Linked DNA regions of Schizosaccharomyces pombe. Changing the gene in region 1 together with any one later gene gives a genetic interaction. Each region holds a gene or a part of one and is shown in the gene's direction. Other genes may lie near its edges.

Region 1 (4,323 bases):
GTACATGGAGATGTTAAAATAATCATTACTCCCTAATTTTTTTAACATATTTCTCTCGTCTTTAAGCAAATCCCACTGTGCCAAGTAAGAGTTTGCTTGCAATAATAATTGATCTGTATTGGGATTTTTTTTCTCAGCCAAGTTTGACAAAATTCTTTCAGACTGGGCAGATAACTCAAAGATGTCCTTGCCAAAGGCACTGATATCTTTTTGAATGGTATCCTTTGCGTTTTGAGAATTTTCAACATTGACTTTTAAAAGTGATACTTCCTCATGTAACTTTATAACATCGCTGTAAAATCCTTTTTCTTTCATGTTTTGGGAAGACTTTACCGAATTTATTATTTCGTCTAACGCTTGACAACAATGTCGATATGTGCCATTAACTTTATCAATTAAACAATCAAGAGAAGATGCTTCGGACCTTAAAAACTCAAGCCCCCCTAAATTTTTTATTTCAGTAAAATTTTCCATTACTTTATTTGAAGTTTCAGTTATATACCTATTGTCATTGACGGACTTTATCTCTTCCATAAGAGCAAAAAGCTTTTCTGTACCTTCTTTAGTTAAGCAATCAATACTCTTCACAGCAGCATCCAAAATATTTTTTTCATGTTCTTCAATTAGATCCATAAACTCTTTGTCCAAACATGTCGAAAAATATGGATAAGCAGCCGTTTTATCCGTCAAAACATCTGGTGTTATCGATTGAACCATAGTAACTGTATCCAATAAAGGAAATGAGCCTACTGGTATTTCGGGTTGTAAATGAATAAAATCATTGTCCCTCTCATTTCTTTTTAATTCAAACTGTAAAGAGCTTTCAAGTTTTTCAAGTTTTTCATAAACTTTCACATTAAATCCAAAATCGAACCTGGTTTTCAAAGCTTCCTTGCAATGTAACAGAGAAAGCCTCAAGTATGAAATGTTTTCTCCATATTTGTTTAGGGAGTAACTTGTTCGCGAAATAATCTGATAAGTAATAGTCTGGTAAAAAAGTTTTTGAATGTAAGTCCAATGAACGAATATACTCGGTGCCCCAGTTGCATTTTTAAATAATTTATATGCATCTTCGTATAAGAGGAAGACTTTTGCCAGAATCTTTACAATGATAGATTCACTGGTCGTGTCATTTGAGTTAGCCTTGCTAAAAATACAAGTTTGAGCCTCAGCAAGGCAATAAATCTCCCAAGCTTTCAGTAAGTTTTCATTGAAGTCTAAAGATTTAGTGTATATATAGAAATCATTTATATATCGAAAACAGCCAGCAGAAAGCTGAAAATATTGACATGCCTGTACTAAATTAGGAGGTTTTTCATTACAAAGGGAAATTGCCGTCGTATGATAAGTGCATGCTAATCGATATATCAAGCAAGCATGCTCAAATATTAGATTTTCAAAAGATTCTCTCTCGTTTGAAGAACTAGACAATGTCCACACAAATGGTGCTACGCATTCTGATAAATGCTTTTGTTCTAAAACACACAACAACTGGTGGTAAGTTTGAAAGGAGCTCAACGAATTTATTGAAGGATGCGACAAACATAATTGACTTCGCAAAGCTTTAAAGGTCTTCAAATCATTTTCATATGTGAATGATTTGAAGCAAGACAATCTTTTCAATTCATTAAACAGAGGGTCACAACTCCAATGAAAAGTGTTTTTTGTTGGTATATTTAAAAATTCCATTGCTAATAATGTTTGAATAAGTGTCTGGTTATTTTACAAACCAAGAATCTTGTCACGAAGTGCTAGAGCAATTGCCAAACACGCGTCTTTAAAAAGGAATAACCTTAGTATAATATCGTTCACAAAGCGATTGTTGCAGGTTATCACCCAAAAGAATACTTTATTAGGACAACTGGTATATCAAATGTTGACGATAGCGAACAAAAAAAAATACCCCGTAAAAATGCAGTCAAACTTATTCCTTTAGAATTGTTAGTGATGAAATGTAATTTATCGTGCGATAGAGAAAAATATTGAGGATGGTTATTAGTAGCTAAATGTAATGTACCTCTAGGTACTTAATGCCATCATTAAGCCATTGTTGCTACTGATTGTACTACTCACACCAAAACCCATTATCCAGAGCAGACCCGTTCAGTAACTTAGCTTTTTAATTTCATTGGATTTTCTTTTAAATCTACCTTTTTCATCATTAATTTGATATTTGGCTTCTGTGATGTCCAATCCAGATTGTTTAAGTGTAAGACTGTTGCATGGAGTAACTCGTCCGAATTTGAACCTTTGTCTAACATTCTAACTACTGTAGAAAGCAATTTCATTAGTAAAAACTGCTATTGATAATGACAATGCCGAGCAATATCCTGATGCTTACAAATATTATCAAAGTGCACTAGATTATTTTATGATGGCCCTAAAATGTAAGTTACTCAATAGTTTGAATTAGGGTGAGGATATATTGTCGCAATGATTCATAAGGAAATTTATATTTGGATCTACATTTTCAAGTTATTGTTTGCTAATATTTCAGATGAAAAAAATGAAAAATCTAAAGAAATAATTCGTTCAAAAGTTATCGAATATCTAGATAGAGCGGAGAAGCTCAAGGTTTATTTACAGGAGAAAAACAATCAAATTTCTTCAAAAAGTAGAGTCTCTAATGGAAATGTAGAGGGGAGCAATTCTCCAACCGCTAATGAAGCGTTAGACTCTGATGCAAAAAAGTTAAGAAGTGCATTGACTAGTGCAATTTTAGTAGAAAAACCAAACGTTCGTTGGGATGATATAGCGGGACTAGAAAACGCAAAAGAAGCTTTGAAAGAGACAGTTTTGCTACCTATTAAGCTGCCGCAATTATTTTCACACGGTAGAAAGCCTTGGTCAGGAATATTGCTCTATGGTCCTCCTGGTACTGGTAAATCGTACCTTGCAAAAGCAGTCGCTACTGAAGCTGGTTCTACTTTCTTTTCGATTAGCTCCTCAGATTTAGTTAGTAAATGGATGGGTGAAAGCGAAAGGTTTGTTATTCTACGTTAAAACTATTTACTCTTTAATATTTACATGACTAACATTATAGGCTTGTTCGTCAACTTTTTGAAATGGCGCGTGAACAAAAACCATCTATCATTTTCATTGATGAAATCGATTCACTGTGCGGAAGCAGAAGCGAAGGTGAGAGTGAATCTTCTCGAAGGATTAAGACAGAATTTTTGGTACAAATGAATGGAGTTGGAAAGGATGAAAGTGGAGTTCTGGTTCTGGGTGCCACGAATATTCCTTGGACTCTTGATTCTGCTATTCGCCGACGTTTCGAAAAGCGTATTTACATTCCCCTGCCTAATGCTCATGCCCGCGCTCGGATGTTCGAGCTTAATGTCGGTAAAATACCTTCGGAACTGACCTCACAAGATTTCAAAGAACTTGCTAAAATGACCGATGGCTACTCGGGTTCAGATATTTCTATTGTTGTTCGTGATGCAATAATGGAGCCTGTAAGACGAATTCACACAGCTACCCATTTCAAAGAGGTATATGATAACAAGTCTAATAGGACCCTTGTAACTCCTTGTTCTCCTGGTGATCCTGATGCATTTGAATCTAGTTGGCTAGAGGTGAATCCTGAAGACATTATGGAACCAAAACTTACTGTTCGAGATTTCTACAGTGCAGTTCGTAAAGTCAAGCCTACGCTTAATGCTGGTGATATAGAAAAGCACACACAATTTACAAAGGACTTTGGAGCAGAGGGATAGTAATATGATAAAGGAGCTATTTTCGCTTAGTTTAATGATACCATTATTGTAAAGAAGTATAATATCATGACTACACTCACAAATGTTGAATCACTTTAGTAAATTATGGAACTAGTAGAATATTGAAGGGAATGTATATTGCTTCGACAATATCTATTAGGGCAATCGGAAATTAGTCTGGGTATGTTTACTCATGCCAGAGAAATATTTTCCATAATCTTAACTGATTTTGAATCAGGATTATAAAAGACAGTATTCGACAAAATTGATATAGAAATCGCATGCTATCAAAAAGTGCAAAGTAGCAACGTACCAAAAACCTTTTCATTCTCGGAGGTAATCGGTATACGTCGCAGGCACGTATTATACGAACAACAAAAGAAAAGCATGAAAAAATGTTGAAACAAAACCGCCTAGCGTGACTTTTATAATAAGTCAACAAATAATGCTAATTACGAGGAATATTCCTAAAAGCAAGTTACATTGTGTAATATGCGTGAAGTAGGGAATAATCAATCTGCTGCAGACACAGCCTCCTTATGATCATCCGCAACATCTTTGTTAGAATTTACGATATCGGTTTCACTTGAAGAATTTTCCTCCT
Region 2 (4,329 bases), on another chromosome or scaffold:
CATCCTGTGGGTTGTCTAATTGTTATAACGTCTCATAATACCAATCCTATGGCAACTGTTATGCGTTTATTCAAAGAAATTAACAATGCGCCCTTTCCTAATTTTATTTCTAAAGAAATTTTACATTACTATTTGTTTATACATGATGAAGATAACAACGATCTTTCAAATTCGAAGCAAATTTTTCAGCAAATGCGGAGAAGTCTTGGCGCAAACTCTCATTTTATTAGATTAAGGTCGAATTACATATCAGCGAAACCTTTAGATACTGACAGATATGATACGTCTTCTATACAGTCATTAAAAAATGCACCTAGAGATTCGATGGAAAGCGAAAGCTTTTGTTCATCTAGTGATGATGCCAAACCGATAACATTTGTGACTAAAAATTTAAGAAAATTTCCAATTCCAGAATGGAGATCATCATTAGAAGTTCAGGCCGAATCCGAACAATCGTGTTTGCCTCTTTATCCTTTACTGCCTGTAGAAGAAGTGGAAGGGATGAAAAAGTTTGTTCAAACAATGTTGTATGATAGTATATATCCTTTTATGCAAAGATGCGTACGGGCCTGGGAAGAAGATCTGACCCCTCAATACGGTAATTTAACTACCAGGCTTCTATTTGCCTCCAAAAAATACTGGTCTCGTAATCATTCAAGCCATTCTCAAGGTAACTATGATCCACTATCCCTTATTTATTCTTCAGAAAAGCAGGAAAGCATAAAAAGAAAAATGGCGGATTTTTCTTTTATGCTTCGTGATTACAAACGTGCTTATGAAATTTATGATGAGATTCGGAATACATTTTCTCAAGACAAAGCCTGGAATTATTTAGCGTCTTGCGAGGAAATCCAAATAATATGTCTGTTAATGCAAAATCGGAATATCAGCTTGAAGTCGCAAATTTCGTATTTGAACAAATGGTTCGACGAAATGGTTTATATCTATGCTGTTCGTCTTCACTCTTTTTACTATACATTTAGAAGTGTGCTAGTTACAAGCTTGTTGCTCTCGTTGAAGCCTGCGTTTAGTATCGACTTTGCAGCATCCTGGCTTGCAAAGATATTGGAACCAGGCCCTATTTCCCTCAATCCGTTTGAAACTTCTTTCTTAAATACGACAATAGCTGGAATGTATAGTAATAAGGAACATGTTGGTGTTACTGATGGAAATCGCCGCAGAAAAGCTGCTTTTTGGTTTGCATATAGCGCTGGCTTTTGGCGGGACTGTGGCCATTGTAAAATGGCAGAGATTTGCTGGAATCTTGCTAATCGTGTGTATTCAAAATCAGGATGGGAATCGCTTTCTGAACATATGCTGGACTTAAAACCAACGCTTTCCGAAAACTTTCGGGTGAAAAATACTTTTCATTAGACAACTCATCCTGTCATCTGGGCAATCTTTGGTACAAGATCTGCTTATGTAGGTGCTAAACTTTCGATTTTGGTTATGAGCTTATTAATTCAAGCGCGATTAATGCGAAGTTGAAAAATTATATTACCGCTTACAGTATCATATTTATATTCAATTAGCTAGTTAATGACTTTAGAAATTAAAACTTCATTTTTTTTTTGTTCACGTTTTTTGAAATGTTGCTTTAGAATTTAGACTGATGTCAATAATTATTTTAAAATAAAAAGTATATATAAAAAATAACTGTGAAATTCAAAGAGTAGAGGTGTAAGCTATAATTTTGAAAGATTTGAAAAAGGAATAGGAGCTGGCATAAAGGAGCTTAGGATTTCCAATTTAAAATGTAGCATTAGCATTATAATTTATTATATCAAAATTATAATTTAGTATCATACTCAATATAACATATATTAGATATATGCGATTTTACATTAGTCAACTTCATACGAAATTGCTGATGTTATTATAACTTGTCTATCTTATCAGTTTTAGAATAAATTGTTCATTGTCTGAATTTTTGAAAACAAATCATCAGCACCTTATTAGAACTCCAAATTTAGCAATTTGTAACATTACAAAAGTACAAGTGACAAGTCACCTCATACCATTAATTCTGTTTGAAAACTGTATATAGTAAACCACGCAGGTAGCTTCAGGAATATACGACAGAATGGGAAAAAAGGAGAAAGTCAATGCTTTGGAATTTTCTGTTAATAAAGGAATTTTTACAAAAACTCGTTTAAAAAGCCTGTATTCTGACTTTACGAGTCTGTTTATAAAAAATCCTGAAGGATTTTTGGCAAACGTAAATACTTGGAGAGAAGCAATTGAAACATCCGCATGGTCTGGGAAGTTGAATTCTAGGATAATCTTAGTTTTCGATGAGACTTTTGAAAGTGCGTTTTCAAGTCCTGCTTTAGGTAGACCTTTGAGCCTTGGTGCTGTTGCGGTACGTGAATTAAGCATTTTTTTTGAAGCTAATAAGCATATAGGCTTACTGGATCCAGCAAGGGGTTTGGCTTCGTAAGCAAGACTTTTTGAACGATTGTAAAAAAGGAAATTTAGTAAGAGAAGACGGTTTTTCTATTTTTTCAATTCTACGGTGGAGTTTTCAGAAACTTGGGTTTCAAAATCAAGCCTCATCCATATTGTCAAATAGATCCCCGAGTGGGCAGTATGTAATTCGAAAAAATATTGAGAAACTTGCTTGCCTTGTACACAATGAAGCAATGCGACGGTGCAGCAGCTATACGAGTGCAATTTATACTTGGGACTTTTTTCAAGATACTTTTGGAAGCTTATACTGGGAAGAAGGAAAATTAAACAAGGATGAGATGGAATGCCTTCTTAATTGGATGTGCTATCAAAAACATGTTTTAATATTTGATTCTAAGGTAAGTTCAGATTATATGTTTTCTCAGCTATTTGTCGATACCGTTTTTTTAACGAGAATAGATAATCAAGTTTTTACCCAACAGCCAAATTGATGCTCAATTAGCTTCAATTGATAAGTCTATTGATGGGTCTGTTGCAGATCTGATACAGGCTAGGGCATCCATCGCCCAAAGATCAGAATTTTTAAACGAGGAATTGGAGCAACTTTCACAAGTGCTAAACCAAGCAGTTAAAAAGGGAGAGAAAACAATAGCAATAACTTATTTACGTCGAAAAAAGATTTTGTCTAAAGATTTGGAAAGGAAAGTTTCTTCGCGTCTGCAATTAGATACTATAATTTCTAATATTGATAATGCGGTTGACAACAAAATTTTGCTTATTGCAATGTCTTCTGGCTCTGAAGCTCTAGACGCAATTTTAGCTCAAATGGGTGGAACTGAAAAAGTGGAAGATGTCTTAGAAAACGTAAATGATACACTGGCTCGTTCGGAAGAGATTGATGCAACTATTCAAACTTACAATCCTCAAAACATTGATTTAGAGGATGAAGCCGTTGAAAAAGAATGGCAGGATTTGGTAGCTGAAGAACAGAAGGTTGAAGATATCGTGTCTACATTAGGCAATGTTTCTCTAAAAACACCATCTGATACTTTTACCCTTACTAATACTGACTCGGATAAAAAGACTTCGAAACCGGAGAAGATTCAAGCTGAGCTGGTTGAGCAATAATTTATATACGTCCTTTTTTAACGATCACTTAAATTCACGGGAAATGGTTTGGTTTACTAATAATTTATGCACATACTAAAGAATAAATGAATACTATAAAAACATTTTTCTTGGTAATAACTATAAAAAACAATAATGCTTATATACTCAATAGAACTTATATAGCTAAAGCGATAAGGTAAAGTACCTGTGTAATGAATTGATGTTAGTTACTAAAAATTTTGCTTTTTATACCTTTAAAAACTAGTAAATTGTTAATTTATTAAATTGATTTCTTGGCAACGACTTAGAAACTTACAGTATATCACATACTCTATAAGTTTATATTATTAGTGTATGACCATAGCTTAACATGAAATACTTTTTTCATAGAATTTAAGTTCTCTAATAACTAAGTGACATTACAATTCTGTTAATATTCTTTGTTTACAAATCAAACAAATAATAAAACATTAGACTTAATAATTATCTAATAGAAGTTTAAATTGGCAATATCTATGCAATATTACAAAGAGCTAGCTAGGCGATTGCATACTCTACAATCAAAAAATGAAAAAGAAGCTCTTGAAAAAGTACCGTTTTTAATTCACTATTTTCAAATTTTAACCAAATATAGCAAATAGACTTTTTGGACAAATTGGTGGTAGAGGTGGACTCGTTGGTTCATGAACAAGATTTGAGGCCATTATTAGAGTTCATTAGCCCTACTGAAAGTTGGTTTTTACTGGGTACGGCGACAATTTTTTATATTAAATTATTAACTCATCCAGACCCTGAATCGATTGATGTAGT

Evidence for each region.
Region 2: of vps4 (region 1) and cmp7, changing one suppresses a phenotype caused by changing the other (phenotypic suppression), as found in Schizosaccharomyces pombe (one study listed by BioGRID).

Annotation. Positions count from the first base shown.
Region 1 is NC_003424.3:815,932-820,254, forward strand, and holds vps4 (AAA family ATPase Vps4), read left to right. Parts: upstream 1-2,071; 5' UTR 2,072-2,185; coding exon 2,186-2,209; intron 2,210-2,275; coding exon 2,276-2,387; intron 2,388-2,430; exon of another isoform or gene 2,431-2,497; coding exon 2,498-2,984; exon of another isoform or gene 2,985-3,043; coding exon 3,044-3,719; 3' UTR 3,720-3,808; downstream 3,809-4,323. Other genes in the region: alx1 (BRO1 domain-containing protein), read right to left, coding at 1-1,689; protein phosphatase PP2C catalytic subunit Ptc3, read right to left, coding at 4,232-4,323. UniProt on the Schizosaccharomyces pombe protein: Involved in the transport of biosynthetic membrane proteins from the prevacuolar/endosomal compartment to the vacuole. Involved in multivesicular body (MVB) protein sorting.
Region 2 is NC_003423.3:3,896,013-3,900,341, forward strand, and holds cmp7 (ESCRT III complex subunit), read left to right. Parts: upstream 1-2,073; 5' UTR 2,074-2,083; coding exon 2,084-2,362; exon of another isoform or gene 2,363-2,405; coding exon 2,406-2,807; exon of another isoform or gene 2,808-2,868; coding exon 2,869-3,537; 3' UTR 3,538-3,678; downstream 3,679-4,329. Other genes in the region: trs8501 (TRAPP complex subunit Trs85), read left to right, coding at 1-1,374; protein Tti2, read left to right, coding at 4,035-4,109, 4,154-4,329.